Lonchura striata: one gene and its partners. The protein of the gene in region 4 binds, or shares a complex with, the protein of the main gene of each other region. Links are inferred from orthologs where the notes say so. Each region holds a gene or a part of one and is shown on either strand. Other genes may lie near its edges.

Evidence for each region.
Region 1: PIGP (region 4) and PIGY share a complex: the UniProt entries of both Homo sapiens proteins name them as parts of the glycosylphosphatidylinositol-N-acetylglucosaminyltransferase (GPI-GnT) complex. The link is inferred for Lonchura striata from reciprocal best matches to the Homo sapiens genes PIGP and PIGY.
Region 2: PIGP (region 4) and PIGH share a complex: the UniProt entries of both Homo sapiens proteins name them as parts of the glycosylphosphatidylinositol-N-acetylglucosaminyltransferase (GPI-GnT) complex. The link is inferred for Lonchura striata from reciprocal best matches to the Homo sapiens genes PIGP and PIGH.
Region 3: PIGP (region 4) and PIGQ share a complex: the UniProt entries of both Homo sapiens proteins name them as parts of the glycosylphosphatidylinositol-N-acetylglucosaminyltransferase (GPI-GnT) complex. The link is inferred for Lonchura striata from reciprocal best matches to the Homo sapiens genes PIGP and PIGQ.

Annotation. Positions count from the first base shown.
Region 1 is NC_134606.1:58,611,439-58,618,064, reverse strand, and holds PIGY (phosphatidylinositol N-acetylglucosaminyltransferase subunit Y), read right to left. Parts: upstream 1,375-6,626; 5' UTR 1,343-1,374; coding exon 1,112-1,342; 3' UTR 663-1,111; downstream 1-662. Other genes in the region: PYURF (protein preY, mitochondrial), read right to left, coding at 1,375-1,516, 1,633-1,881, 2,220-2,272; putative E3 ubiquitin-protein ligase HERC4, read left to right, coding at 2,615-2,755, 2,849-3,021, 4,040-4,094, 4,273-4,352, 5,394-5,577, 5,948-6,047. UniProt on the Homo sapiens protein: Part of the glycosylphosphatidylinositol-N-acetylglucosaminyltransferase (GPI-GnT) complex that catalyzes the transfer of N-acetylglucosamine from UDP-N-acetylglucosamine to phosphatidylinositol and participates in the first step of GPI biosynthesis.
Region 2 is NC_134608.1:32,903,128-32,910,538, forward strand, and holds the start of PIGH (phosphatidylinositol N-acetylglucosaminyltransferase subunit H), read left to right. Parts: upstream 1-4,298; 5' UTR 4,299-4,308; coding exon 4,309-4,488; intron 4,489-6,295; coding exon 6,296-6,505; intron 6,506-7,111; coding exon 7,112-7,195; intron 7,196-7,411. Other genes in the region: ARG2 (arginase-2, mitochondrial), read right to left, coding at 1,563-1,635, 1,755-1,871. UniProt on the Homo sapiens protein: Part of the glycosylphosphatidylinositol-N-acetylglucosaminyltransferase (GPI-GnT) complex that catalyzes the transfer of N-acetylglucosamine from UDP-N-acetylglucosamine to phosphatidylinositol and participates in the first step of GPI biosynthesis.
Region 3 is NC_134618.1:2,699,648-2,707,099, forward strand, and holds the start of PIGQ (phosphatidylinositol N-acetylglucosaminyltransferase subunit Q), read right to left. Parts: upstream 3,105-7,452; 5' UTR 3,016-3,104; intron 2,910-3,015; exon of another isoform or gene 2,905-2,909; intron 1-2,904. UniProt on the Homo sapiens protein: Part of the glycosylphosphatidylinositol-N-acetylglucosaminyltransferase (GPI-GnT) complex that catalyzes the transfer of N-acetylglucosamine from UDP-N-acetylglucosamine to phosphatidylinositol and participates in the first step of GPI biosynthesis.
Region 4 is NC_134604.1:114,838,907-114,846,877, reverse strand, and holds PIGP (phosphatidylinositol N-acetylglucosaminyltransferase subunit P), read right to left. Parts: upstream 3,001-7,971; 5' UTR 2,927-3,000; intron 2,838-2,926; exon of another isoform or gene 2,583-2,837; 5' UTR 2,564-2,582; coding exon 2,482-2,563; intron 1,682-2,481; coding exon 1,609-1,681; intron 1,151-1,608; coding exon 1,032-1,150; intron 800-1,031; coding exon 669-799; 3' UTR 166-668; downstream 1-165. Other genes in the region: E3 ubiquitin-protein ligase TTC3, read left to right, coding at 3,031-3,108, 5,898-5,943, 7,288-7,420, 7,863-7,947. UniProt on the Homo sapiens protein: Part of the glycosylphosphatidylinositol-N-acetylglucosaminyltransferase (GPI-GnT) complex that catalyzes the transfer of N-acetylglucosamine from UDP-N-acetylglucosamine to phosphatidylinositol and participates in the first step of GPI biosynthesis.

The DNA of each region.
Region 1 (6,626 bases), on a different chromosome or scaffold from region 4:
CAGGAACCACGGACCTTGGTGCCATGGTGCTTTCCAAGTGAGCTTTCTTGCCAACCAGAGTTGTCAAGGCTTTTCTTTCCCATTTACTTTGGACAAAATTCACAAAGACTCCCAGAGCTACCTTTCCTTCCTGGCTCCTCACTATTTGAGAGAGGCATTTATTTAGAGAGGCAGTGAGGGTGTGCTCTGTACTGTCCTCTATATTTCAAGTCTCCACCTATTGTACAAGCTCTGACAACCAGCTGCCCTTAGCTCAAGTCAGCCTTTGGGCACACCTCCTGAGCACTGCCTTTCACACTGTGCATCACAATATTATTCAGCAGCAGCCTGAAAAATGTAACTGCACTGTTAAGTGTCCCACAGCATTTACAGCCTGGTGCAGCATTTACAACTTGGTGCCTCATTTCTTAATTTTTCAGCAATTTCATGTTTCAAAGGACATTAATATGTTTTGCATTGCAGATACAAACTACCCAAAAGCAAAACATAAAGAAGAAACCTTCATTGTAGCACTGGCCTGCTCCCTTCATAGCTGTGTGCTGTTAAGAACTTGGCATGTGGCATTCTCATCGTGGCCCTAGAAAGAAAAGATCTGCATGTACTTCACATACAGACATGGGTATCATCCCAGAAAGAAATGTCTTCAATTGACTCATCTCAAGTCTTGTTATTAAACACCAGCCTGATGTATTTTAATTTTTGCTCTTCTGACAGTGAGACAAACATATTTCAGTACACACATCTGGTTAAAAAGCCCCAAAGCTCTCAGAGAGATTCATATCATAGCATGTTTTAATTTTAATCTAGTTTATTCAGTCAGGGTACAGTTCTTCCTCATGAAACCTAAGGTTCTAATTAGTCCCACTACAAATGCACAGCACTCTTGAAGGGATAAAAGTGAGGGAATTAGTGCTTTGTATTACTCCTACCCTTCATGTGCATTAGCAGTAGTTAACAATGGGCTGCTGCTTCCTACAGTTCCAGATCCTACCAGGAAAATTATGACAGTCCCTAGTACCAGAGGGAAACTCTCAAAATGAACTGCAATACTTGATGAGATTAAACAAATTATGTTGATTTAGAGAAGCCAGGGGTTAGCAAAGGCACTGCACTAGTTGTGCCTAAAAAGCTTAATCCCCATCCAGGTCCAGAGGTGAAAGAACACATAAACTGGTACTGTAACAGGAAGGAGGAGACTGTAGAAACACAGGCTGGTTGTGCTGGTGCAGCCCTGGGGGAAGTTTTCGTCCACGCTGGCCGAGTAGAACAGGCCTGCCAGGGACAGGAGGGGAACGAGGACAGTCAGCGTGGGCAGGGAGGGCAGCAGCCCTGCTCCGGCCATCAGGCCGGGTGAGCGCCGTGCACGGCGGCTCCTCACGGCTGCTCCGGACCCTCGGCCGGCGGCTTCTTGTTCGTCCTCCTGGCCGCCTCCGGAACCAAGTTCGGGATGCCGTCGATGATGGGATACGCGATGCCCAGCTCCTCGTTAATGAGCTCGTTCGTAGCTTCTTCGTACCTGGTCAGCCAAGTCAGGAGAGGGGGAGAAACATCCAAGCGAAAACATGAGGAGCAGGGACTAACTAACCTGGGTTCGCGCAGGGCTCGGGCGCGGCTCCCCCGCCCCATCCTCACCTCAGCGGCCGCTTGGAGAGCGGGCACACCAGGAAGCGCAGCAGCGATGGCTCCAGGGGCTGCGGCCACGCTGAGCCGGAGCCCGAGCCGGAGTTGGGGCCGGATCCCGAGGCCGAGCCCGAGGTTTGCTCCCGCTGGCTATGGCAGTGCCGGCCGTGCGCGGGGCCGGGGCCGGGGCCGGGGCCGGGGCCGGGGCCGGGGCCGGGGCCGGGGCCGGGGCCGGGGCCGGGGCCGGGGCCGGGGCCGGGGCTGGGGCCGGGGCGGGCCGGCCGCCGCAGCAGCAGCGGCAGCAGGGCCGGGCCCCGCAGCATGGCCGCCGCTTCCGCCGCGCTCTGCCCGGCCCGCCCCTGCGCGGCGTTCCGAGGGCACGGAGGATCAAGGTTATCCTAAGGCCGGATGCCTTTCCATGTGTGATCTTTGGACACTGTCAAGCTTAATCAGGAAAAAAGGAGACCTAGTCAGTGGAAAAGGCAGCAGCCAGCATTCCCTAGCCAAGGACATCCGGGAACTGAAAAGCCTTAAAGATGCAGTAAATGAAGATGTTGATGTATATACATTGCTAACTTGTCCATATATGAATTGCTAACTTGGTCCACGTAGCCTGTAGCTGAACTGTGTTAATTGTAATAGTTAAAATCATGCCCACAGGGCAGTGAGACCCCTGCCCAGTTGAAGACCCTTACCCTGAGCATGTGTGGAAGTTATCTGGGGTTAAGGAACTTGTTTGAAAATTGCTAACCAAGCATAACAGACTTGGACAGTTACTAACTCTGAACTTCTGTGTACAAATAATGGCTCAAAAAGTCTGGTGGAATGTGCTTGATTTGTGGATTACTACCGAGTACCCAGCTTGGCACAACTGTGAGATAAATAATCAGCGTCTCTCGGTTGTGTAATTACTGGCGTGTTGCATACCAGGTAAGGAACCTGGTTTTGTGGCCAACATGGATGTCTCTATCTGCGGGTGTCTCGGGCCTTGCAGGTGTCTTTTTTGGGTGAGATGGGGGTGGACGAAGGTGCGGTGTCCCAGGAGTTCTTCAGTGTTGCAGCCAGGACCCTCTGCCAGCCCAGCACCAGTGCCTTCTGCCACTTCGCCTCCGGCCTCGTGTGGTTCCCCAGAGAGGTAAGCCAGCCCTGCAGGGGTGGATGGGTGCCCCACCTATGGGAAAAGGCAGTCATGGCTTGTTCCTAACCAGTTGTGCTTGTTCCTAACCAGGCCCGAAGCTGTGAGGATGAGGACACCTTCCTCTTAATTGGGACACTGTGTGGAATGGCCCTGTTTAACCTGCGCATGGTGCCCTTCCCCTTCCCCAGGGCTCTCTATAAAAAGCTACTGGACCTGGTCCCCACCCTAGAGGACCTTGAGGATCTGCTGCCAACCATGGGCCGGTATGACCCAGCTTTGGCTGGGTCCCTTGACTTGACCATGCACTGGGAGATCCCAGAGGCTGAATTTGGGGCACCCACAGCATCTACATTTGCCTTTGTGAAGCTGCTAGAAGCCACAAAGGAGGTCCTTGGTCAGATTTCCAAGGAGGTCCTTGTCCAGGGCATGGATGTTGCTCTCAGAGGCTGGCATTGCCAAAACAAAATGCCAAACCTCGTGACTTAGAAGGTGTCAGATCTCTGCTCCACCAGAGTTTAAATCCACCCTGTGAATATATAAGGGCTGTAGTTTGGACTTTAAAGAACTAATGACTCAATTATTAATGGTGGGATTTTTTTCCTGATTTACTAATTATCAATTTCCACTATATTGCCTTGCACAAGTACAGTATTACAAAGTGCTGCCAATTCTGAGAACCCTTGTACAAAGTTTCCATGCACTGGGAGAGGAGATATCAGGCAGGCATAAGGGGCAGAGGTGCTGCTGCCACCAACATAATGCTTCGAGGCCCCTGAAGCCCAGTTTTCCAGGCAAGTGATACAAGCAACCAAGAAGATGAGAACCCCATCCCATGACCCAGTGACTGTGTTGAAGTGCTAAATTCACTGAGGTTCCTCAGTGAATTGGAACACAAGGTTGCCTGCAATACTTGGAAAGGTGATGCACCCCATAACAATTCTCCCAGATCATCTCTCTGTTGCACACATAATTCCTCACTAGATAATGTCTGGAAGCAATGATTCCAAACCCAGTTGTCACTGAACTTTGTGTAAAGTTGTGCACACAGGGCATGGGGATGGACTTGCCTGGGAACATTTTTTACTGGAGGCATTTGTGCTGAGCTTATGTCAGCAGCATGATGAAATTTCAGTGCCATATATCATGTTTATGTCTAAGTGTAGGTGTTGTGTACATGTATGCATTTAAATACTGCCTGTCAAAAGATGTTTTTAGCAGAATTTTCAAGTGCGCTGAATGCTCACATTTCTTCTCTCTTTGATCCCTTTTGTGTTTGGATAGGAGTCTCCGGAAAATTTTGAATGATGAAAGTGATAGTTTGGACTTGGACTTCACGGTAAGACATCCTACGTAGGTACTCAGGCAAGACATGTCCCAGTGCAAAGACCACAACTTGTCTGTAAACTCAGACTAGTGAATGCCATGTCAGGCCCTTCAGGAGGAATGAGAGGTGTAGCACATAAATATCTGTCACATATAGATAGAGCAGCCAGTGTTTTAATTTATTTGCATAGATAATGGAAGGAGGAGATTCCACGGATGTTGTTGAACTTAAAGAAAATGGTGCCAACATTCCTGTCACTAAGGATAACAGGTCAGTTTTATTTTTATATTTCTTAATCCTGTTTTCTTGTTACAAATGTATGAAATAACATGTCTGCACCCATCCCCATATATTGTTAGAAAATATTGACTTCTGTTTTGTGCCATTAGTCTTGGTCCAGTAGATTGTACACTTTCAGTTCCTGCTGTACTTGCTGCACACGTGCAAAAACTGTCAGTTTGTGCAAGCAGTGGATAACATGGTGATCCTTGGATATCCTGATATCTGCATATACAGATACCTGGCATTAACAGGAAAATTCCTAACAAATGTAAAAAATAACCTTGAACAGTATTTTCAGGCAGAAACAAATCATTTGTTTGTGAAACCCAGCACACCTCTGTAAGGGTTCTTTAAGAGCAAAATGTTTCCTGCTTAGTTATGTGTATGGAATGTATCTTGTACATAAAGGAGAAGGAGAAATATATCAATAAGGCTTTATGACAATATTATTATGTGTATTATTATGTATTATTATGTATCAATATTAATCTCTGCACAGAGGACAGAAATAAATTTTGTGTCCTGAATTATGCAGATGACCTGAGGACCCATAAGGATCCATGAAAGGGCTGTTTAAGAAGCTTGAAGTAGAGCATTTACATTGAATTGATCATATAGTACAATGTCACTACACAAATCCCCATCTGAAGTAGAGATAAGAGTGAAACTATTAACAGCTATGCAAATATTTATTTCTATTTCAGGGAAATTCTTGGGCATTCAATGGGAGTTAGGTCTGCTAGGTTCCATCTTTTATAATAACCAGGTGTCTGACAGGAATTGGAGCATTCACATGAAGAAAAAGGAGTGTTACCAAAATGAATCCATTCTGGCCAGCATTCGCTTTTATTTCTGAAGATGCTCCCAGCTTACTCAGTGAAAAACTAACTGCCATTGACAACTGATCTCAGTGAAGACTGAGTCTGTACACCAAAGCAGGTCATATGGAATAAAGGAATTAAGTATAAAGTTCTCTGTAATTCTTCTTTTAGAAAAGCACCACCAATGCTTGTTTGGTATCTGTTGCAGGAAAGAATATGTTGATTTGTATGTGAATTATATGTTCAATAAATCAGTAAAGAAGCCATTTGAGGACTTTATGCAAGGGTTCTTAAGAGGCTGCCCAGCTAGAAATTGGAAGATGTTTTTCCCTGAAGAGCTGCAAGTTCTTCTCCAGGGATGCACAACATTTGACTGGCATCTGCTGGAAAAGGTATTGTATACAAGCACAGTGTCCTTCTGTTCTGTCTGATAAGCATAAACTACTTCTGACCTGTTCTTTCATTGAGTGCATAACAGATGGACAGAAGCTCAAGGAACTTTGTCTTGTTTTGATTAGTGTCTATATTCTGCCTCTAATCTATGTCAGCCACAAGAATAAAGGGGAATAGGTATCAAGCCATAACTCAGGGATTGTCATATGAATCTTTGAAAAACAAATGAACAAGCAGATTCCAGAGGTTAAGGGGATTTGAATATCTATGAACAGGATTATAAAATGTATCAGACAAAATGTTGCTTTAAATATAAATGGAAAAATTGAAATATAAACCTGGCCTGTTTTATTTTTATCTCTTTGACAGAATGTGACATACAGACAGTATACAAAGTTAGATCAAACCATCAGAAATTTTTGGACTGTGTTTCACAAGTTACCAGAAGAAAAAAAGAAAATGTTGCTTGGTAATATATCAGTCATTTTAAACTTTGCATAGCCCTTTTCTTCCCCCCACAACACACATAGTATATACTATACTATAGTTCTAATTAGTAGCTTTTCAATGTGTTCACCCCTGCTGCTGCCACATTTTCTAGAGAAAACCACAAAAAAATAACACAAGGAATTGCACAGGGACAACTCAGACCCCTCTCACATCCCCTGAGGTTTGCCCAGTGCATTGGACCACCCTGAAATTTGCAGTTACTTTATCCCTTACTTTTGTGGTTTTTTTGTTGGTCAGAGGCTGCAGTTTGTGAGAGTACACTGTGTTGATGTAAACAATTTACCCTTCTCAAAGCGTTGCAGAAGCTAGGTCATTCTTTTTAAAGGTAGAAGGCCAGACCTAGCCTGGCCTTTCTCATCCACAGTGTCTATAATCTAGAGTAGAAGAGGGCTTGTAACTACTGTGAATAGGTAAGAGACTTTTATCTATATTCAGCTGCAAATTCAACAAAGCATAATACTTAGCTTAGAAAAATATCTGTATGTTTTCACTATTTTCCCTTCATGATTTTCATTAACATTAATTATTTTAATGATTT
Region 2 (7,411 bases), on a different chromosome or scaffold from region 4:
CTGCAAGCTCCTATTGAAGTGAGCTTGTGTCAGGCAAATAAGAGGGTTTTGTCTTCCAGTTTTTAATTTGGTTGGGTTTTGTGGGTTTGAGCTTTTCCTCAAAGAATTCCTTCAAAGTGGAAACATTAGCTCTAAACCATTTGTAAGAGAACCCCAAGACTTCCAGCATAAAATTCTATTATTGATACTGAGTAATACCATTTGAAAGAGAACCCCAAGACTTCCAGCATAAAATTCTGTTATTGATACTGAGTAATCTGCTGCCTACAGCACTATTTAGAAGAGCATCCTCCTTTCAAACCTAGCATTTTATTAATTTCAGATAAACTTTAGACTAAGTAACTATTCCAGTACAAAGAACCTCTTTTAGATGCCCTCTTCCACACTTGCTGAAATTACAGCTCATTCTCACTAGAGTTCAAGTATTGCCAACAACGGCAATGTCTATACTTTGCATAAAACAAGAATGGAAAAGAATATCTACACATCTGGCTGCCAACTGGGACTTTTCAGCTTGTGAATCATAAGATATGCAGGATAAGCCTACAGGGCTACAAAGAACAATTACTTCTGTTTAGAAGCATTCTTACCATTCAGAATAAAATTGCTAGAGGGTTATTAGGCAATTATCTCTGTGTGCATCTAAACTCCACTGACACTAACCACCCAGGGAGAAGATATTGGTTCTTTCTGTGGTACATCCCTGCAATCCATCTTCATCACACCATTTTCAGTAACACTCTTTAGATTAAAGATTCTCCAAGACACAGTTCAGCTTTACAAATTTCTATCCCTCGTGTCCTGTTTCTAGTAAATGTGGTACAGCTTTCTGCAGCTTGTGGACGGAATAGATGTGAGAAGTTGAATCACAACTAAGTGCATGGATTTGCTTGCACAAAAAGACGAGAAACAGCCCATTCACAGGGTGACATTTGCAAGCGTTTTCAAAGACTTCACACAAGACCTCTTATATAAAACTGACGATTTCTCCAGAAAATTCTGAATTTCATCACCTGGAAGCATACGAATCTTTTAGGAACAAACTGGTAACGAACACAGAAAAAAAAAAAAATAAGGCAAAGCCCACACTACGTGCTAACCCGAGGGTTAGTCACAGTTCCTTCTCTGGATGCCACGAGCGCGCACAGCAGTTCGGGCGGCCGCTCGCTCCGCGGCAGTCAGCAGGGGAGCATCACACGCTCCGTGCGCCGCTCGCTGCGCCAGCGCGGCCGGCTCGGCTGCGTGCCGCTGCTCTGGGCAGCCGGAGCGCATCGCGGCCGGGGAGCCGGGACCACCGGCCGCTCTTTGTTCCGGGACCCCCGCAGGGCCCACTGCGGCTCCTCCCGGTGCGGCATGCGACGGGCGTTCTCCCTCCCGACGCCTCCGCAGGGCTGCGGGCACCGCCGGCGCCGGGGCACGGTGTGCTCCGTGAGGCACCGGAGGCGGGAGCCGCCTCCCCCCGCCCGCAGGAGCGGCTGAGTCACGCTGCCCCCCGAGCGGAGGGGGGCGCGGGCGGCCCCGCAGCCCCCGCCGCCACCCCCCGCCCGCCGCGCTGTGCTCACCGAGCCCGGCCAGCCGCTCCACCAGCCCCGCGGCGCGGAGGGTAGCGGGGCCGTGGTCCACTCCCCGCCGTTTCTGCGAGACAAAGAGAGGGGAACGCGTCAGACAGCGCTGCCCGCAGCCAGGTACGCGAGCCCCGCCGGGGAAGGGGAGCCGGGCGAGCGCGGCGCCCGGCGCATCCCCGCGATGCCCACCTGGCCCCTGGAGAGCGGGGCTCCCACCAGCGCCACGGAGTGCGCCCCGCGGCGCGGCCGGAGCGCGGCGTCGGGCTGGGCGCGGAGCAGGCGGGCGAGGGATCCGCGCAGGGCCATGGCGGGCGGTGCTGCCGCGCGCCGCCCGCGCCCCGCTCTCTTTAGCGCCGCGCGCCGCCCCCGCGCCGCCGGCCAACGGCAGCGCGCGCGCACGGAGGTGTGTCCGCGCGCCCCGCCCCCGCGCCCGCACGCCCGCCCGGGGTTTTTCCACTGCCGCCGCCGGGGGCACGGACGGGGGCTCGGAGAGAACGAGCAGCGCCTCAGGCTGGCGATGAGATGCTCGTTCTCTCTGACACGTGTAGGTCCCCTCTGTGTGCGAGCCGCACGCTCCTGCAGCTCAGCCCGGCTCCCTGGCTGGCCGCTCCGTGGCTTCCCCGAAGGAAAACGGTGACGCTCATCACCAGATGACCTTAATAAAGCATTGAAGGACCACCTGTTCAGCACCTACCTCGAATATTGATCGCAGAGCATCGTGGCCTGAGACGATTCTCGGGTCTCCAGCTATTCATATTTGAGGCACATTTGAAGGATGATTAACAAATGATTTAAAAAGAAGTGGCAGTCCCCACCTTTCCCTGCTGTGACAAGGCAACAGGACTCCCACTGTCGAATGTCCAGTCTTTATCTACAAGCTTGAAAGAAGGCTGACAGCTCATGAGATAACAGGGCAGAAACATAGTTAAATAGGGACTTGCCAGAGACACATATTAAAAAATCCAAGCATATTTTGCTTTTTCGTCTTAAGATTTCCTAGTTCTCCTCCTATCTCTGTATGTCAATAACTTCTTTGTGTCTTGTTGTGAATGTGAATTATTGTTATCACTCCTCCAGGAGATCATATTTCTTTTCTGTCCTGTTTACTGACCTGGCTGTTCACAGTGCTTTTACCTCTTCTACTTCTTACTCTGATATTTCTTTCCCCTTCTTGTCCCCATCTCTGAAGCTGTCATACCAGCTGCCATAACTCCTGCTTACATGCTTCAGTCCTTCTCACCTGCCATTTCAAACCTTTCTTCCATCTTTTAAAAGCCTGTTTTCAATTTATTGGGTTTTTTCCACTTTCACTTCATCAACTAACTTCTTTCATCCTCTTTTGAACTTCAGTATTTTCTTCTCCATTTCTGCACTTCATTGTCTGCTGTTAATTTTTTTTTTCCTCCAGGCCAGCTCACCTTTCCTCTTCAGAGGAAGAGGAAAGCCCATTCCTCCACCTGGTCTCTTGTGTCAGAGTGGGATCCTGGATGTACTGCACAAGACTTCCCATGGATGGCAGCCATCAACCACTCCTCCAGGCAAAGCAAAGGCCTCGGTAGTGATTCTCTGATGCCCCTTGTTTTTTCATGTCCCTTAAGACTTCTTTGGTGCCCCTGTGAGAACAAGTTAACAGCTTTTTTGTACATACAGTATCCACCCAAGAGCTCTGAGGATGCCATGCATGAAGTAAATTGCTCACAGAAAGATGGCACCTGCAATTAAAGCTAACACTCAAAAACTGTGGGAGAAGGGAAAAAAAAAAAAAGGCCAAAGAAATCAGGATGGCAGTTTGGAAGTCACAGAGCTGTAGTTTTATATTACTGCCACGTAGTCACAGAGCCACCACGAAGTCACAGAGCTGTAGTTTTATATTACTGCTATGTCAGTCACATGAAGTAATAACTGAAATGCATTAAAGGGAACACAATACAAAGATCCATTAAGTCTCTGTATGCAAAGCCAAGTCTCCAATTTATCATGTATTTAGTGGCAAGGGACCAGAAAACTCTGCTTTAAACCTTGGGGGAAAAAATCAAAAGAGCTTGTAGTTAGCTAAGCATGGTACAGATGAGAAAATCCATTAATGTAGTTGCAGATGGTAAGGACAAAGGGGTGAAAAGAGAACCTTCCTGAGAAGAGAAGGTTGCATGGAGAACTCATAGAAACCTTCCAGTATCTAAAGGGGCGTTCTGGGGAGCCAGAGAGGGTCTTTCCATCAGGAGTTGTAGTGATAGGACTAGGAGTAATGGAAAAAGGGTAAATTTAGGTTAGATATTAGAAATTTTTTCCTTTGCATGTGGTGAGACACTGGACCAGGTTGCCCAAGGAGGTTGTGGATGCTCCAACCCTGGCAGCGTTCAAAGCAAGGTTGGATAAGGCCTTGAGCAACCTAGTCCAGTGTGAGGTGTCCCTTTCCAAGGCGGGTGGTGTAGAACCAGATGATCTTTATGTTTCATTCCAGTCCCTTAACAGTCTACGATTCCATGAAAACCCCAGGCTCTTCATCACGTCAAGAGACACGTGCAGCACCACTAACCCGTGTGCCCTTTAACTAACACTCATACTCCGTAAACAGAGGAAGCAGGCAACGAATTATCAACATGTGCAAACCGCAGAAAGCGCTGATGTAATCGAGATTACGGACAGACGCCCGGGCAGGCACAGCCGAGGAGGCAGGCGGCGCGGGCCGAGCCGGCGGGCCAGGCTCCTCCCGCGGGAGGACGGCCGGCCCCGCCCGCCCGGCATGGCGGAGCAGCGCCGCTTCCTCTCGGCCTGCGGCGTGCCGATCGCGCTGCGGCGCCGCCAGCACAGCGCGTCCTGCCGGGAGCTGGCGGTGCGCGGCCCGCGCCTGCAGCTGCGCTCGCTCAGCGCCGTCACCTCCGCCGTCTGGCTGGCGGCCTACGGGCTCTTCGCGCTCAGCGAGGTACCGGCCCCGCCGCCCCGGGCCCTCCGCGGCTCGGCACGGCGCCGGCCGCGCCCCTCCCGCGGGCGCGCAGGAGTCCCGCGGGCTGCGCCGCCTTGGCTAGCGGCGCCCGGGGCGTGGGGGCGGCCGCAGCCCGCGGGAAGGCGCCGAGCGCCGCTCCGGGGCATCCCCCGCGCCCCGGCCGCTCCGAGCTGGTGGGTGTGTGACGGCAAAGGGACGGCCGTGCCAGCCTGCCGGCTGCGGGCCGCCACCTGCCTGCCCCAGTGGCTTCGCGGGTGCCTCTGTTGGTTTGTAGCCTCTTGACAGATAGGGTAGATGTATGGGTGCTGAGTGATGCCTGGCACATCCTTCTGAGTCCAAATAACACGTGTTCACTTGGAGAAATGAGTTGTGAGAATCTGAAATTAAGGAGGAATTGAATAAGGTGAATGATTTTTAATCCTCAAAAGGAATTTTTCTAAGTGACACCGGGAGCACTGCACCGGGAATGTCATCAATTTTCACAGCTGAGGCAGAAAGATATTTGCAGTACAGATATAAAAGTCTGCTGATTCCTAAATTAATGCTTTTGGATTAATCAGAAACTGGACCCAGACAAGTTATGTCCAGACTGAATTCAGTAGCTTGACCAAAGAAGCTGGTCACTGTGACCCATGCTTTGACTGTTGCAAATCAGTTTTTTTCAGTAATCCTTCTTAAGAAACAAAGGTAGAGTCAGTTGTCAGACAGAAATAGATGGTTCCTGATTAAATTTCTTTTTTTACGAAAGCATGTCATTCTTTTTTTACACTGCAGTCAGTGGTTAGCACCCACTGCCCTCCTGCTTGTCTTTACACATGCTCCTGCAGCCTGCATGCAAGTGACTGCAATTCTTCCTTTAGCCAGGAAATCAGGCCTGAAAGTGCCCCTCTCTTTTTGTGGATTTCAGTGTCTGTACTTCATGACTGTTTTTTTCCCCTGTGATAGCAAACTTTTGGAGATGTCCTGTGTGCTTCCTGAAGCGATGGCTTCTTTTGCTCACATGGTGGTACAGGCCCAGCTTGAGTGGTAGTAGGGCTGTGCAGTTCTGTTCCTTTAGAAAGTGTCACTTATAACTCTCATTCATGAGTAGGTGGCCTGAAGATCTCTAAAACATGTCTCAGAAACAGGTTGTGGGTTGTGGACCTTTAGAATTTATCACCAGGTCTTCAGATGATTTACTGGTGACTATAGTGTCATTGGTTATATATTAAAATGTAACAGCAATCCCAAGACTGTGGCATGCAAAAGACATTGATCCTTACACAAAATACAGGATAAAGCAAAATTTCATTGGGTTGGTATTTAAGGCAAGAAGTGGGTGTGGTTTGAACAAGTTTGGACTGGCAGTTCATGGTAAGAAAACCACCCTGGCAGTGTTTATCCTGAAGGAGGGTTCCTCTGCTTTGAGAATCCACCCTTGCTTCCTGTAAACATTTCACAACACTTTTTTGTCAGTGACATCATCTTTAGAAGTTGGCATAATACTCTCATTGATACATCTGGCTTGTTTGGGTTGAGATTTCTGCATTGAACTTGGAAGGGAATAGAATTTTCTCGCAGTTTTCAGTTTCAGCTCCCAATTCTTTTAGTGCATACTGCAAAGACTAACTTAAACCTCACTACATAGATATCAGCCAGCCAGGTGAATAAAAAGACTCTACCTAAGTAAAAATGCTTTGCACCTGTAGCTTTAATATACAATTTGCTGCGCAATTTTAATTTCTCTAAAGCTGTGTTAAAGTAACTGTAAGACCAGAGCTCTGCCTTTTCTTGGCTTGTGTTACAGAACAGCATGGTGCTCTCTGCCGCCATCTTCATCACGCTGATTGGCCTGATCATATACCTGCACTTCGTGAAGATTGACCAGGAATCCTTGCTGGTCATCGGCTCGCTCGGCATTCAGGTGACTTCCTCCTATGCCTCAGGGAAAGAGAGCACAACCTTCATTGAGATGGCTCAAGTGAAGGATGTGGTTATCAATGAAGCCATCCATATGGTAATCATACAAAATCTGTCTTCTTGTGTCTGGGCACACTCACATCCAGTGTATTTTCATGAGCATGATTTACCAGAGCAATTAAACACAGCACCATCCGTAGCTTTACTGACATCAGGAGCTTCAGATTTTTCAACTTAATTTGTCATCTCTCACCTTTAAAGGAGAAATCAAACCAAACAACCTCAAAAAGCCAAATCAATCCCTTGGATAATGCCACTGTCATTGAGCTAGTGGGTTTCGTTCTTTGTGTTATGCTGTTCTTTCAAATCCTGATGCCCAACTCCATATGTAATCAAGATGGAGATGAGAAGCTACGACAGCACAATGATTTTTCCTATTGCTGGGGTTTGCAAAGCTCCTGTAGAAAAGCAGACCTTACCCTTCCAGCATGTGTGTGTTCTTCTTAGGTTAAAAACTTAATAGACAGTCAACGTTATTTCTTTATTGAGTGAAAGCTGTTGATACAAATTTGTAGACTTGACTGTGACCTGGCAGGATTTGCCTTCAGCCCAGTGAGTTGAAACAGATCCTACTTCTGTGCTAACTCCAGGCAGTTTGACAGCATTTTTATACTCCAATGATTTTTGTCCGTTTGTCTTGTAGCAAAAAGTTATCTACTACCTGTGTATCCTCCTCCAGGACCCTGAAGATCCTCAGGGAGTATCTGAGGTTGTGCCACTCTTTCAAGTGAGTTTGACTGAATGGTGGAGAAATCCATGTTGTAGTCTTTGTGTTGCATCAGTTGTCTAAGCATATTTTTATTCTGCTACAGGTAGCTGGTGACAGTTGCCTTTCCCTGGCTGGGCTGTCAGGATGTGTGGCATTTGAAATCTCACAGAACTACATACTAGGGATGGGTTTTTTCATTTGCTCTCCATTCAAACAATCAGGGAGTTGTGTCAA
Region 3 (7,452 bases), on a different chromosome or scaffold from region 4:
GGATGTGCTGGAGCACCTCCTAGAGAAGGGACTACATCATAGCTCACTGTGGTGCCTCTGGGGAGTATTTCCTGCTGCTATCAACAATCAAACACCAGTTCATGCTATTCGGTCTCCTTTACCACCTTACAACCCAGATCTCTGCAGCAAACTCACAGAGCCACCTTGATCCCATCACTCAGCTCCTCCTGCCTCACTCCTCTTATCAGGAAACTGAGACAAAAATTTTGTCAGAAGAGACTATAGTGATTAATTGAAGTAGTTTTAATTCATTAGATTCAACAGCCTAAAAGATGAGAACTTTATCAGCGCTCTTTATCCTTAGTGCTTTTCTCCCCATCATTAAGAACACATCTCAGTGGCCTTGGGAGACTTTTCCAGAAAGGAGCTTTGAGGCAGTTGACAGTGTCTCTTTAAATAAGGTGGAGGTTTCTAACAGGAATATAATTGCAGTAAGGAGGGCGCTGGCGCAGAACAGGCAGCATCCGGCGCCCGCTGTCCTTTCCTGTCCTTTCCCGTCCTTCAGCGCTTTGTTAGGGATGTGAAACTCCACAGGGCCCCGAGGCTGCTCCTCTGCAAGGGACCAGTCAGTTGGAAAGGGAACACAGAGGGTATTTACAACACAGAGAGACCATGCGCAGAGGGAAGGGCCTGGTGGCTTTTTCCTCTCCCTTAGGAGAGGACAGCTGAGCCAGTAAAGCTCAGCGCCTGGGAACTTCCTACTCGGAGGGATGGAGGAGCAGTTATAGGGAGTGATTAACCTCTGGGGTTAATCACCCACAGTGGGGTAATCTGGGGAGTTGTGGACTCCCCATCCCTGGCAGTGTCCAAGGCCAGGTTGGATGGGGCTTGGAGCAACCTGGGACAGTGGAAGGTCCCTGCCCATGGCAGGAATGGGACTAAATGGTCTGTAAGGTCCTTTCTATGTCAAACCATTCTATGATCTATGGCTCTTCTGAGATCCTGCTTCCTCACAGACTCCAGGTCTCTGAGGTTATCCCTCTGGTCACAGAGGGAAAATTAAGTCCCTCTGTGGCCTCTAGATCTTGCTGGGGGTTGGAGGATCTCTGGAGCAGTGAGGGCCAATGCTGGGTGCATTCAGAACCTGTAAACACTGTGCTTCCAGCACCATACTGCCAACAAATTCCTCAGGAGAGGGAAGTCTTGGGATGTACTTTGCAGTTTTGCAGTAAAAGGGAAAATTCAGTCCAAGGAAAAATATCAAAGACAGTCCCATGATGTTTTTCCCATCGAAACAAAGAGAGTTGTTGTGAGTATTGCTACAAGAGACTCTCAGTGTCTATGCATGACTGTCCTTAAAGGTCTGTCCATCCACTGGACATTTTAGAAAGGAACTGTCAACTGACTCTTCATACACACACTTATTTTTCACTGAGATTGTTTTTAAAGATAGCCACAATCCTCTGGGAAAACTTCTCATGGAGCAGAAACACTTGACATCCTTATCTTCTCTAGTTTGTGCGTTTTTCCTCTTACACCTTCCCCAGCTTCTAAAATTAACATAGTTTTGTGCACCCAACTACTCTGGCTATAGCTTGGGTCAAATGATCTGCCCTTTGGCTGCTTGAGGCATGGCAGAGAAGATTCTGATATGACTTTCAGGCTGCACAAAATATCTTGATAGTTGAAAACCTGGCTGATCAACTATTGTTATGTTAATGTTCTCATATTCCCAAATCCATGACTTGTCATGCATCTACCTCATTCATTTCAATAGACTGAAATGTCAAATGTCATCACAGTCTGCTTCACTGCTGCTAATTTTAACAGAAAAATCTTACCAATGCTCATGCAGTCCCTCTTCATCAAGTGCCTAAAATCTTTGAGATCCACCTATTTCTTGTGAAAACATCCACCTTTCCTTGAGAGCACCAATGCAATGACCTCAGGTAACCAAAACAAACAAAATAAACACCACCTAAAATGTGTTAATACAACCAACAAATGAATACAGGGCCCTAAGACTGATGGATTCCAGAGTTTTTGTTAGAAAAGCGAAGGTGAATGGTGGGATGTGTCCATGGTTTCACCCCAGAGAGTGTCCTGTGGCCAAGGGGTGCCAAGGGGGACAGATCCCATAGCAGACCCACACCTGAGCATCCCATGATCCTTGCAGGGGGGTTAGGGCCAGGATATAAAGAATCATAGAACCGTGGAATTGTAAAGGTTGAAAAGCCCTCTATGACCACCAAGTCCAGTCAGTCATTCCCCAGCACCACCACCACCACTAAACCATGCCCTCAAGTGCCACATGCACACGGCTTTTTGAACACTTCCAGGCCAGGCATTCCATGAGCCTGTGACAGTGCCTGAGCATGCTTTACGCGAAGAAATTTCCCCATCTATTCTATCTATATATAAATTAAACCTCTCCTGGCACAACTTAAAGCCATTTCCCCTGGGAGCAGAGACCATAGCATGGCCTCAGAGATGGCAGCAGGGAGTTGTGCAGAGCCACAGGGTCCCCCTGAGCCTCCTTTTCCCCAGGCTGAGACCCCCAGCTCCCTCAGCCCCTCCTGGTGCTCCAGCCCCTTCCTCAGCTCTGTTCCCTTCCCTGGACACGCTCCAGCCGCTCAGTATCGTGAGGGGCCCGGTGCTGACCCGGCCCGGCGGGGGCTCCCGGTGCCCGCGCAGGCTCCGCGCGCGGCCCAGCCCGGCCCGCCCGCTCCTGCCACCCGCTCCTACCGCCCGCCCGTTCCTGCCGCCCGCTCCCGCCGCCCGCCCGCTCCCACCGCCCGCCCCGCTCCCGCCGCCCGCCCCTGCCGCCCGCCCGCTCCTACCGCCGCCCGCCCGCTCCCGCCGCCCGTTCCTACCGCCCGCCCCTGCCGCCCGCTCCCGCCGCCCGCCCCGCTCCCGCCGCCCGTTCCTACCGCCCGCTCCTACCGCCGCCCCGCTCCTACCGCCGCCCCGCTCCTCCCGCCGCCCGCCCCGCTCCCGCCGCCCGTTCCTGCCGCCCGCTCCCGCCGCCCGCTCCTACCGCCCGCCCGCTCCTACCGCCGCCCCGCTCCCGCCGCCCGCTCCGCTCCGCCGCTTCCGCCCGCGGTTGCCCGGAGACGCCGCTGCCGCCGGGTCGTGCAGCCGGACGGGCCCGGCCGGCACCGCCACCCGCCGCCCGCGTTCCGTGGTGCCGCGGCTCCCCGCTCCCGGCCTGTCGGGCCCCGCCGGCCCCGCTCCCGCCGGCGCCGCTCCCCGGGCTCCACCCGGCGCCTTCCCGCGGGCCCGAGGGCGGCGGGGCCGCCTGAGCCGCGCGATAAGGAGCGGTAGTGCCCCCCTGCCCTGCCACCGCCCCAGCTGGAGCGGGGCCAGGGCCCCGCTGTGCTCACGGGATGCTGCTGGCCCCATCCCCACAGGCCAGGGGCTCACCTGTGCTCACAGGACTCCGCTGTCCTCTGTTCCCAAAATCGAGCGGCCCCGCTGTTCTCACAGGACCCTGCTGTCGCTCATCCCACAGGCCAGGCACCTTTCCATGTGGGACCCCGTTGTTCCTCATCCCCAAAGTCCAAGGACTCACTGTTCCTCAGGGAACCCCGTTGTCCCCCATCCCACTGGTGAGGGACTCGGCTGTGCTGATGGGACCCTCTTGACCCCCATCTTGACTGCCTCAGTGGATGTCTGGCCCAGCAGAGACCCATGGGTGCCCACGGGTGCCCAAGAACTTTGTCCTGTGATCCGGCCGTGGGCTTGGGCCAGTGAGCCTGGGAAGATGCTAGGCAGCATGAAGAGGTCCCACATGGAAAGAGAGAGCAGGTGCAGAAGTCGGGGTGGGCTACATAAAAGATTTTGGGGTTTAGTTTTATTGTTGGATGCCACAGAATTGGAAATAAGATAGGGGAGATTAAGTCTTGTGGGAGGGAGCTCAGCTTCCTGCAATGGGAGAGGCTGATCCCCCTGTTTCTGCAGACCATGCAGCCCCAGTCCCTGCTGCTTGCCTCACGCTGCGGGGAGAGGGGTTCTGGAGAACCTCACAGGGTGTCTGTTGTGTCCAGTGCCTGTTCCAGAGCCAGGAGGGAGCAAGGCCCTCTCCAGGGATCATTTGGGATCAGAGACGGTGACTTGGGTGTGGGACACCATTAGAGACAGAGAAGTCATTAAGCTCCGTGCCCACACCGAGGGCTGGAGCAGGGAGAGGAAAACGCCCATCCCTGTGCCGGCACACCCTGCCCACCTTCCCCTGGCCCTTGCTGATAAAGGCAGCAAGACGTGCTGAGCCCTCCTCTCCAGAGGACAACAGGATGGTGTCTGCCCCAGGATGTGAGGTAGTCTGAGGAGTTCCACGATTCCATATGGAATTTACTCCGTGTAGTGGTTGTTGCTTCCCTGTAGAGGTCAGGAATGCAGCACAGAAGGAGTTACCTTCATCTTACCCTTTTCCTGACGTCTGCTGCAGACCCAGTGTGCTGTTCTCTGATTGCAAAACCCACCCTAATAGCCTGGGAATGAATTAGGACAGACCAGTTGGCTCAATCATGCCAGGCTGGACAGGGCTTGGAGAAGCATGATCTAGTGAAAGGTGTCCCTAGTCATGGCAGGGTGTAGATCTAGGTGATCTTTAAGGACGCAATCCCAACCATTGTGTGATTCCATGATTCTGTGAGCGAGCATGGACTTCTAGCATGGCCTTGCCTCTCTGGTCATGGTCTGGCATCAGGAAGATGGGACCATGGCACATCAAAATCACATGGAGAGAGGAGAAATATTTATATCAGCTTTGGAAAACACTCAAGGAACCAAGGATGTTGTGATAACAAGTTTGCCAAGGCACCAGTGCAAGGCCAACTCTTGAGTTGCTGGGTCATCCTTTACACACTCTGGTGGGTCCAGAGCTGGTCTAGTCCTAGAGAAGCTGGGGGCCTTTAGGCAGTCAGGTCTGGGGCAATGTCCCATCCCTAGAAATGTCCAAGGCCAGGTTGGATAGGGTTTGAAGCAACCTGGTATAGTGGAAGGTGTCCCTGCCATGAAATGGTCTTTACAGTCCCTCCCAACCCAAACCATTCCATGATTCCATTACAGGAATCTTTGAGAGCAGTGGAGCTCTCAGCACCCCAGCAGATGCACAGCTCAGTGGGGCTGCAGGGAAACCATCCCCCCTCCCCACCTGTGTGTTTGGTTGGGGTCAGCACGTGATGTCCCAGCATTGGTGGGTCTGTACCGGGGTCTCACACAGTACTTAAAGACTTTGACACAGTTCTCCACTGTGTCTGCCACAAAGAGGTGCCCAGAGGAGGAGCAAGCCATGCCAGCAGGCCTCCGCAGCCCCGTGGACACCAGGCAGATGGGAGCTCCATGCTCTGGGAATAAGTGGACTGTACGGCGCTGCTCGTCTGCCACCAGGATGCTGCCATCCGTATCCACGCAGACCCCAGCAGGGTTGCCAAACTGGTGTCCATATTTGCTGCTGAGAGAGCAGAGGAGCTTACAGCTGCTCATGAAGACCTTGACATCTCCACACTCTTCACTCACCACAAAGCCTCCACCGGGCACTGGACTGATGTAGCGAGGTCCCTGCAGATTTGGGACAGAGTGCACATTGAGTGTCCTGAAGGTATGGTCCAGAGCAAAGCTGTGCACTTGACCTTGTGCATAATCTGCTATCAGGATCTTGCCCATGGAATCTACTCCAATACCCCTGGGGGAGCCAACCTTCCTGACCTTTATCCATTCCCTCTTGGAGAGGTTGGTGTAAGGGTTGAAGACCCAGATGGCTTCATTCACCATGTCAGCTACAGCCACCATTCCCATCCTAGTCACAGTCACATCTTCCGGCAAGAAAATGCTGCCTCCCTTGCCTGATTGTTGGCAGGGCAAGGACTGCAGTGTGTGGCCTGTGCTGCTGAGCACGTGGACCCAGGGAGCACTCTCAGCTGTCACGTAGATGGAGCCATCCAGGGAGCAATGGATTCCACTGACACCCCCGTAGCGGCTGCCGGTGGGGTTGGGAATCTGCCGGACCAAGTCATCCTGGCAATAGTGGAGGAGGTTCTTGATGTTGTCCAGATCTCTGCACAGGCTTTTGGCCTTATCTGCCAGCTGGTGGACCTGGTGCTGGGTCACCATGCCCATGCCACTCTGGCTGTGCAGCACTGGGCTGGCTGACTGCAGTGTGGTAAATGACTTCACCTGGAGGCTGTAGATTGTTTTCAGAAGCTTCTGCTTTAGCTGGCTGGTCTCCAGCGTGTAGTCCATGACAAATCTCTTGTCCCTGTTTGGGGGAAGCAGTTAGGACCATGACTGTCCCTGCCTGCTGCCATCTCTGAGGCCATGCTATGGTGCTTGCTATCTACCCAGGGTCAAGGTGTTGGTGCTATTCTGGATTCACTTCATGCCAGAGAGACCACGTCACTTTATTGCCAGCTAATTATAAAATAAAGACAAACAAGGACCATGGCATAGAAATTAAAGGGTCAGCAAACTGGACCTACACCTGGAGGAACAACCCAAAAAGGTCCAACAGCTCCAACAGCTCAACTGGTGTCAGATATGGCCTGAAGATTTATGTGTAAAGGTGAGCCCTGTGTGTGAACTTATTGAATGGGACCTCAGACTCCCCAGTTCCTGAGATAATGACTTCTTTCAGGTCTTTAACACTTGTTACCCCTATTTTGTGTGAGCCTCATCTCTCCAAACCAAGCTCAATCCATGATAACACTTGAGTCACTCAGGGTGATCATTCCCCGACTCCCACATGTCAGATGTCAAACGTGGCCAGGGCATGTCTTTGCTCCAGGCAGCCCCTTTCCCATCCAAATAGCTTCACAGAATCACAGAATATCCTCAGTGGGAAGGGACACGTCAGGATCATCCAGTCCAGCTCCTGGCCCTGCACAGACACACCAACAATCCCACCCTGGGCATCCCTGAGATCATTGTCCAAACTCTCCTGGAGCTCTGGCAGCCTTGGGGCGGTGCCCATTCCCTGGGGAGCCTGTGCAGTGCCCAGCATTCTGGAGGAAGAACCTGAAGGAAGAACCTCCTGCTTCTGGAGACACAAGGCGTAACCAGCGTGTTATGGAGGAAGAACCTTTCCTGATATCCAGCCTAAACCTCTCCTGACACAGCTCCAACCATTCCCTGGGTCCTGTCCCTGTCACAGAGAGCAGAGATTAGTACCTGCTGATCAAGTAATTTCTGAAGTAGCCAACAACTTTTCAGGAAGAAAAGGGGAGATTCTGCTCTGAAACATGCATTCAATCTTCACCATTTTTTTCAGACAAGAGAACCCAAATTTTTCTTTTGCACACTTTTCCTCAGTCTTAAAACTAGGCAGTGATGGAAGCCCAGCTTTGCTATGTTATCCCCAGGCATGGCTGGAGCATGGCTTACAGCACACAGCCAGGAGCTGACAAGTGAAATGTTAAGAGACATATGACCTCATTAAAGCTCCTGGAGAGGCATAGTTTTACTTTGCTTTAAATGTGATTATAATTAAAATTA
Region 4 (7,971 bases):
AAATCTTCACAACCCACCTTTATTATTTTTGGTAACTCGGTAAATCTGATATTTTGGGGGGGTGGGGGGATCAACAGGTTTGGCTGAATAAAGAATTGTGTGAAGGAAAATGGAGAATTTATCACCTCAACCCAGGAGAAACCTCCCAGAATCACAAGAAAATGGTGAAGATGGAAAAATCAGTTACATTTTATTAATATTTACAAAGGCAAATGATATATTTACAATGCAAACACTTCCAGTTAATAATTGAAAAAGATCCTCAAGTGTTTGACTGGCAAAACACATTTTTCTCTCCCTGAATTTAAAAAAAAATAGAATTAAACTGTCTAAAAGCTGCTTTTTTTCCCCGCTCAGAGGGGAATTCCAAGCAAAAAGCTGCAAGTAACAGAACACTTTTCAACCCACTTTTTTAATTTTTAAATAACAACCAGATAAATGACTGGGGCATAATTTTCAGAGCAATGCAGGTTAATAAGGTGCATAATAATAATAATAATAATAATAATAATAATAATAATAATAATAATAATGAAGCCATATGAATTTAATTAGAAATTCAGGGGAAAAAAAGCTGAAAGAGTTTGTTTTTTTTTTAGCTTGGAGAGGTTTTAATCGTTCCTCAGTAATTTTTATCAATCCTTTGTCCAAACAGATTTTAGTAACAACTATCTGCTATTGCAGATGCCTTTTTCAGGGAGAAAAAACATCCTGTTGACTTCACTGATGGGAATATCTCTCAGGGCTGGAATTGCCTCCTCCTGGAATTTCTTCTGCTGCTGCTTTTTTGCAAAGTTATCTACAAAAGATAAGGAGAGCATTTCATGGTTTCCAGGTCCTTTTCTTCCAAGAGTATGATATAATTTTATAAGGCAGCACTACAAATTTAGCTTACTTTAAAGGATGCTGAAAACCCCACCAGGGCTTCCAATAAATCAAATATTTAAAGGCTTAAATTTCGGGGTTTATCCTCTATAGATTTCCAGAATTCTCAGTGAAGGATCCAACTTTTCAATAAGCAGTAAAATCACCTGTGATGGTGTGAGTGGAGTTGAGTGGAGCTGTGCTCATCATGTTAATCCCAAAAAGCAAAATATAACCAATTCCCACAGCCACCAGGAGATAAACTGGCAGAGCAACTGCCCAGTACCTGAAAAAAAGGATTTGAAATTTTATATTTAGTAACAAATGCCTACTAATGAATTGGCTTTAATTGTTGGCATTGTACCTGTGATGAATTTCTACAAGAGGAAAAGCAGCAGCACCTCTGATTATGAATCCTGATTCCACTGGAGCTACTGATAAACCATCAGATAAATTCCTTCAAAAAGGTCTTTATTGTTTAATTATGCCCTACATTTTACTGTATTTCCACTAGCAGACTTCCTAAAAAGCAAAATGTCAAATTTATCCTAAAGCATCCCAATATTATTTATTTCATGGCACAACAAAACCTTTTCACCTTAGCTACATTTTAAAAATGCTTTAGAAACATTACAATTCTTTATCAGCATGGGAAAATTGATTTTATTCTAGGCCCTTATTTAAAAATAAAGTTTTTTATTTGAAAATAACTAAGATTAAATTTATTTTATTGGCTGAACTTACTTTTGAGGCCAGTATGTCAGTCCCAGGGAGAAGAGCCAAGTCTCAGGAATATAAGCCCAGATAAGGTACAAAACTGCACAACAAAATCAAAAAGTCACAATAAGACTGATGGTGTTTTAGACTTCCTAAGTTTTGCTTTTATTTAAACTAAAATACCTCTCCCAAAAGATTGCAGGACAAATCCTGCCCAGCCCCTGGTTACACGGGATCAGTTTTGTTCTTGCTTTAACATTTAATTTCTGATTTCCTATGAAGACAGCCAAGAATTTACTCCAAATTAAACTGCAGAACAATAAAGAAAAAAAAAAAACCAACAAAACCACCCCCAAGCACCTCAATAAAAAGAAGCCAAAGGAATCTGAACAGAGATACTATTAAAGCAGAGAATGATCTCACAGAGGTCATTTTATGGGAAGAAAACCGGGTGGAATTGTAGTGTTTGGATGGAACTGTAATGAAAATTACTGAAAATCCTTCCTGATTCTTCTTGGGGGGGAGTTGAGCCCAACTCCCCCTCGTTTCTCACTGCCCGACGGTGCCACACACCCACAGCAGGATCCTGCACTGAAGGATATTTGCAGCACCTTTTCTTGTGCTGGAAAAGTGTTTTCTACCCTCTCAAACCCTGGATCCCCAGTGAAAAGAAGAACCCATCACATCAGCAGGGAAAAGCTGATGGAACCTAAAATATTTTACACTTCTGTTGACCAGATTATTTTTTTTTTCATTTTTTTGGTGGGGAAGGTAACACCACAACTACCTCCAGCGCTTAGTGAATGTGAAAATGAGCGTGATTCGAGTAAAAAAAAACGGATTTAAACGGGAAAGCAAAGCAGCACTGCGGGGTGATGGATTCGGCTGCGCGATACTCACTGAAGCCAAACCACGAGCCCAAAAAAAGCGCAAATCCGTAAATTGCCCTTTCTGGCAGCGGGGCCGGAGAGTTCTCAACCATGCTGGGCTTTTGCCTTTAACTTCGCGGGGAGTGCGGAGAACGGGACACGAGGGTAGCAGAGATAGATAAGGGACAGCAGAGATAAGGGATAGCAGAGATAGATAAGGGATAGCAGAGATAGATAAGGGATAGAAGAGATAAGGGAGCGCTTTGGGGGGGCCCCTGTACCCGCGGCTGCGGGGGCCGCACCCCTCCCTTCTCCCCGCGCCCGGCTCTGCCCCTTTGCTGTCCACAGCCTGGCCCAGGAGGAGGAGGAGGAGGAGGAGGAGGAGGAGGAGGAGGAGGAGGAGGAGGAGGAGGAGGAGGAGGAGGAGGAGGAGGAGGATGATAATGATGATGATGGGGGAGGAAGGCGCTCCCTACCCCCGCTCCCCCATCCGCCACCGCGCCGCCTGCATCCGGCCACGCGCGCAGGCGCACGGCCCGCCGATTGGCCGCGGCCCGTGACGTCAGAGGGCGGGCGGCCAATGGGCGGTGCGTCCGGCGGGCGGGGCGCGCCGGGGCGGCGGGAGCGGCGGCGCCGCGGCAGCAGCGGGATCGGAGCGGTGCGTGCGGGATCCGGGCATGGATACCGGGACGGAGGGATACAGGGATACAAGGATGGAGGGATACAGGGATACAAGGACGGAGGGATACAGGAGGGACGGAGCGGTGGCCGCTCGGCCGCCTTCCCCCGCGCCTCGCCCAGCCCGGAAGCCCCGGTTTGTGCCCGGCACCGTGAGCGCGCCCCGGGCCGCACACGCGGTGCCGTGAGCATCTCCGGGCTCTGGGAGCACCGGCACGGACGGCGTCCCCTTCTCCCCTTTGGCAGGATAATCCACGCGAGCGGCGAGCCCGCGGTTTTCCGGGATCGGGTGGCGGCGGAGGGGGGAGCCCGGGAGCTGCCGGGACGGGGCGGGGTGTTCGGCATCCCGGGATGCAGCCGTGATTCCCGGGATCCAGCCGTGATTCCCGGGATCCAGCCGTGATTCCCGGGGGTGCAGCCGTGATCTCGGCATGCAGCCGTGATTCCCGGGATCCAGCCGTGATTCCCGGGGATGCAGCCGTGATCCCGGGGGTGCAGCCGTGATTCCCGGGGGTGCAGCCGTGATTCCCGGGGATGCAGCCGTAATCCCCGGGATGCAGCCGTTATCCCCGGGGGTGCAGCCTTGATTCCCGGGATCCAGCCGTGATTCCCGGGATGCAGCCGTGATTCCCGGGGCTGCAGCCGTGATTCCCGGGGCTGCAGCCGTGATTCCCGGGATGCAGCCGTGATTCCCGGGGCTGCAGCCGTGATTCCCGGGATGCAGCCGTGATTCCCGGGATGCAGCCGTGATTCCCGGGATGCAGCCGTGATTCCCGGGATGCAGCCGTGATCCCGGGGCTGCAGCCGTGATCCCGGGGGTGCAACCGTGATTCCTGGGATGCAGTCCGGGATGCAGCCGTGATCCCGGGGGTGCAGCCGTGATTCCCGGGATGCAGCCGTGATTCCCGGGATGCAGCCGTGATTCCCGGGATGCAGCCGTGATCCCGGGATGCAGCCGTGCGGCAGGGCCCGGGCTCCTGTCGCGGTGTAGATCAGAGTCAGTGGCTGCCTGAGCTTCCAGCCGGGTTTAGGATGGCTTGCTCAGCGTTAAGCTGAACTTGCCCAGAGTTTAACAAGAGCAGCAGAGTGAGCTTTAGCGCCGTGGCTGTTGGAAGTGTGGCCCAGCTCCTGAGTTTGTCTCTCTGGTGTGTTTTCACCCTCCTTTTCTCCCAGGGTGATGTGCCATGGCTGGTCCTCTGTCCACCTTTGTAGCGGCTCTTTTTGGAGGTGGTCCGGCCTCCTTGGATCTGGTAAGAGGGGTTGGAGCTTGATGGGAAACTTGCAGGATGTTCCAGGGGAGTTTTTACCTGGATCTGGCCCTGGCACAGGGTGCCCAGAGCAGCTGGGGCTGCCCCTGGATCCCTGGCAGGTTGGACACTGGCCTTGGAGCAGCCTGGGACAGTGGGAGGTGTCCCTGCCGTGGCAGGGCTTGAGTGGGATGATGTTTGAGGTCCCTCCCGTCCCAGATCATTCTGGGATTCTCTGATCACATCTCCAGAGTGATTCCCAGTGTTCATGAACTCAAGCTGTGTACAGGTACCTCACACTGGCCATGATTCCCTTCCAAAAATCCCAAACTGGGGCAGAGCCAGAGCTGGTGTCCCCTGTGAGCAGGGGGGGACTGCTGGGACAGCTCCTGCCAGCACAGCTTGCCCAACCTCTTGGTCCTGTGGCCATTCCTGGGCTGCTTCAGCTCAGCCTGGCAATCAGCCCCTGCAGGGCAATCAGCTCTGTATTCCTGGGATTTCAGCTCTGTATTCCTGGGATTTCAGCTCTGGGCTCCTGGGATTTCAGCTCTGACTCCTGGGATTTCAGCTCTGGGTTCTGGGATTTCAGCTCTGTATTCCTGGGATTTCAGCTCTGTATTCCTGGGATTTCAGCTCTGGGTTTTGGGATTTCAGCTCTGGCTCCTGGGATTTCAGCTCTGGGTTCTGGGATTTCAGCTCTGGGCTCCTGGGATTTCAGCTCTGTATTCCTGGGATTTCAGCTCTGGCTCCTGGGATTTCAGCTCTGGGTTCTGGGATTTCAGCTCTGTATTCCTGGGATTTCAGATCTGTATTCCTGGGATTTCAGCTCTGGCTCCTGGGATTTCAGCTCTGGGCTCCTGGGATTTCAGCTCTGTATTCCTGGGATTTCAGCTCTGGGCTCCTGGGATTTCAGCTCTGGCTCCTGGGATTTCAGCTCTGTATTCCTGGGATTTCAGCTCTGGGTTCTGGGATTTCAGCTCTGGGTTCTGGGATTTCAGCTCTCTATTCCTGGGATTTCAGCTCTGTATTCCTGGGATTTCAGCTCTGGGCTCCTGGGATTTCAGATCTGTATTCCTGGGATTTCAGCTCTGGCTCCTGGGATTTCAGCTCTGTATTCCTGGGATTTCAGCTCTGGGTTCTGGGATTTCAGCTCTGGGTTCTGGGATTTCAGCTCTCTATTCCTGGGATTTCAGCTCTGTATTCCTGGGATTTCAGCTCTGGGCTCCTGGGATTTCAGCTCTGACTCCTGGGATTTCAGCTCTGTATTCCTGGGATTTCAGCTCTGTATTCCTGGGATTTCAGCTCTGGGTTCTGGGATTTCAGCTCTGGGTTCTGGGATTTCAGCTCTGGGTTCTGGGATTTCAGCTCTGGCTCCTGGGATTTCAGCTCTGAGTTCTGGGATTTCAGCTCTTCCCTGTGGGATTTCAGCTCTTCCGTGTTTGCTTTTTGGCTGTGCAGTGTACTAAATGGTAAATATGTAAATATATACCTGTAAATATGTAAATTATGTGTTTATCTTTAGTGTCGTGAAACATTTGGACATGTTGTGCCGCCTCGTCCTAAACCAGGTATTGAAACTAAACCAATATTCTTCCATTTCTTGGATCTTTGGATTACTATTTCATTTTATTTTTCCTTATGTTGCTTGAAAATTGGTTTATTATTATTTTTTAGCAGAAGCATTGTTATATTCTGTTACCCTGGAACAATTATCATCTATTTCCTAATCTAACTTAAATATTCAGTAATATTTACATAAATGCAGGCAATTAATGCTGTGAGGATGGAGATTCAAAGCTGGAGGTTTTAGCTGTGTGGGTCTAAAGAAAACTTCCAGTTCTTGGTTTTTTTTTGTTTGTTTGTTTGTTTGGTTGGTTGGTTTTTTTGGTTTTTTTTTCTTTTGTTTTTTTGGTGTGTTTTTTGTTGTTGTTTTTTTTTGGCAGGGAGGGTTTTTGCAGTAATAATTAAACAAAAATTCTCAGTTGCAGAAAAGCAGGTGGCTCAAATTCAAAATTGTATTTTCTGCACAGCCCTCTAATTGGTGGGAATAAGCAGATGAACAGCTGTGGAAGAGATTTTTTTTTTTGTGGATTTTTTTTGTGCAATTTTTTGGTGATTTTTTTTTTGTTGTATTTTTGAGTGCTTTTTTTTGTTGTATTTTTTTGTATTTTCAGACTCTCAAGTGATGTTGCTCTGCCCTGAGAGTACCTGAACCCACCCCAATAAACTGAATTTCCCTTTTCATTTCCTTCAGAGCACCTGTAGCCACCTCAATTACCCCATTTAATTTTTAATTCCCATCCCTCCCTCCCTGTTCCATCCAAATTCTGGGAAGTGCAGGATGCTTTTGGGGACAAACCCTGCTCTTTTTGTGCCCTCTTGCCCTGGTTAATTCAATTATTCTTGTCCAGAATAATTCATGGATACAGGTGGAAGAGGCTGCTGTTTTCCCTGGAAAAGAACATTCCCTTCCAGCCCAGCAAGGAGAGGCTGCATTTCTCCATTTTTATCTTATTATTTATTTAGTTCAGAATATTTATTTATTATTTATCCATTCAGAACACAGGAATGCCAAACCTTCCAGCATTTCTCTATCCATAATTCCATAAAAATCCCCTCTGAAAAACCCCCTCCATGACCAGGTGAGTTCAGAGGGTTCAGATTCCTTTGCTTTGCTTTGTCAGGAATAGAGGCTGGAATCATCCTGGATTTTAAATATTGGGACCTTGGAATGCCTGAAATAATCCTTTATTTTAAGATTTACTGTCACTTAGGAATGCCTGAAATAATGACTGATTTTAATATTTATTGACACTTTGGAATGCCTGAATTAATCCTTTATTTTAACGTTTCCTGGCACTTTGGAATGCCTGAATTGTGCCCTGTAATTCCCATTTTTTCCCCCCTTGCAGAAGTTGATATCTGTGAGGTGTGGTGCAGTCAGCCTGTGGAAAAATTAAGGGAATTTTGCAATGTGATCAAAATCAGGATTTTTTGGGCTGTGCTCTACACCAAGGAAAGCACTTCCTTTGTGGATAAATCTTGGTGAGTATCCACATTTTCCAAGGGGATTCCCCTCCAAATCTTCCCACTTTTCCTTTTTCCTGTGAAAATTCCTTGGGTGCTTCCAGTAAGGCTCCAACTGGTGCAGAAATGTTGGAGTTGGTTGAGGTCAGAAGTTCTTGAATCCACAGGAAAAAAAAAAATTAAGATTAATTTCCTGAAGTTTGGAATCTTTGGGAGTGTGGGAAGCTGAAATTTGGGGGGTATTTCAGGATTTTTGTAGATGCTGACATTTCAAAAGCAGCCAAACCTTTCCAGCTCTCCTTTTTTTAATTATTGTTATTTTTCTCCTTCCTCTTCTGAGTGGCTGGACGTGAATTTTTAAACATTCTCAGATCTAATTCCTCTGAATTTTCATAAATAAGAGCCTGTAACAGCTTGGTGTTTGTCTAAATAAATAATAATTCATTCTGTTTTCCAACAGTTTGCTGTTCCTGGACTGGAACGTGAAGAAAATCTGTGAGTTCCATGTTATGGAAGACATTGCTGATTTAATTAAAAAAGTTGTTGTAAGTCCTGGATTTGAAATTACA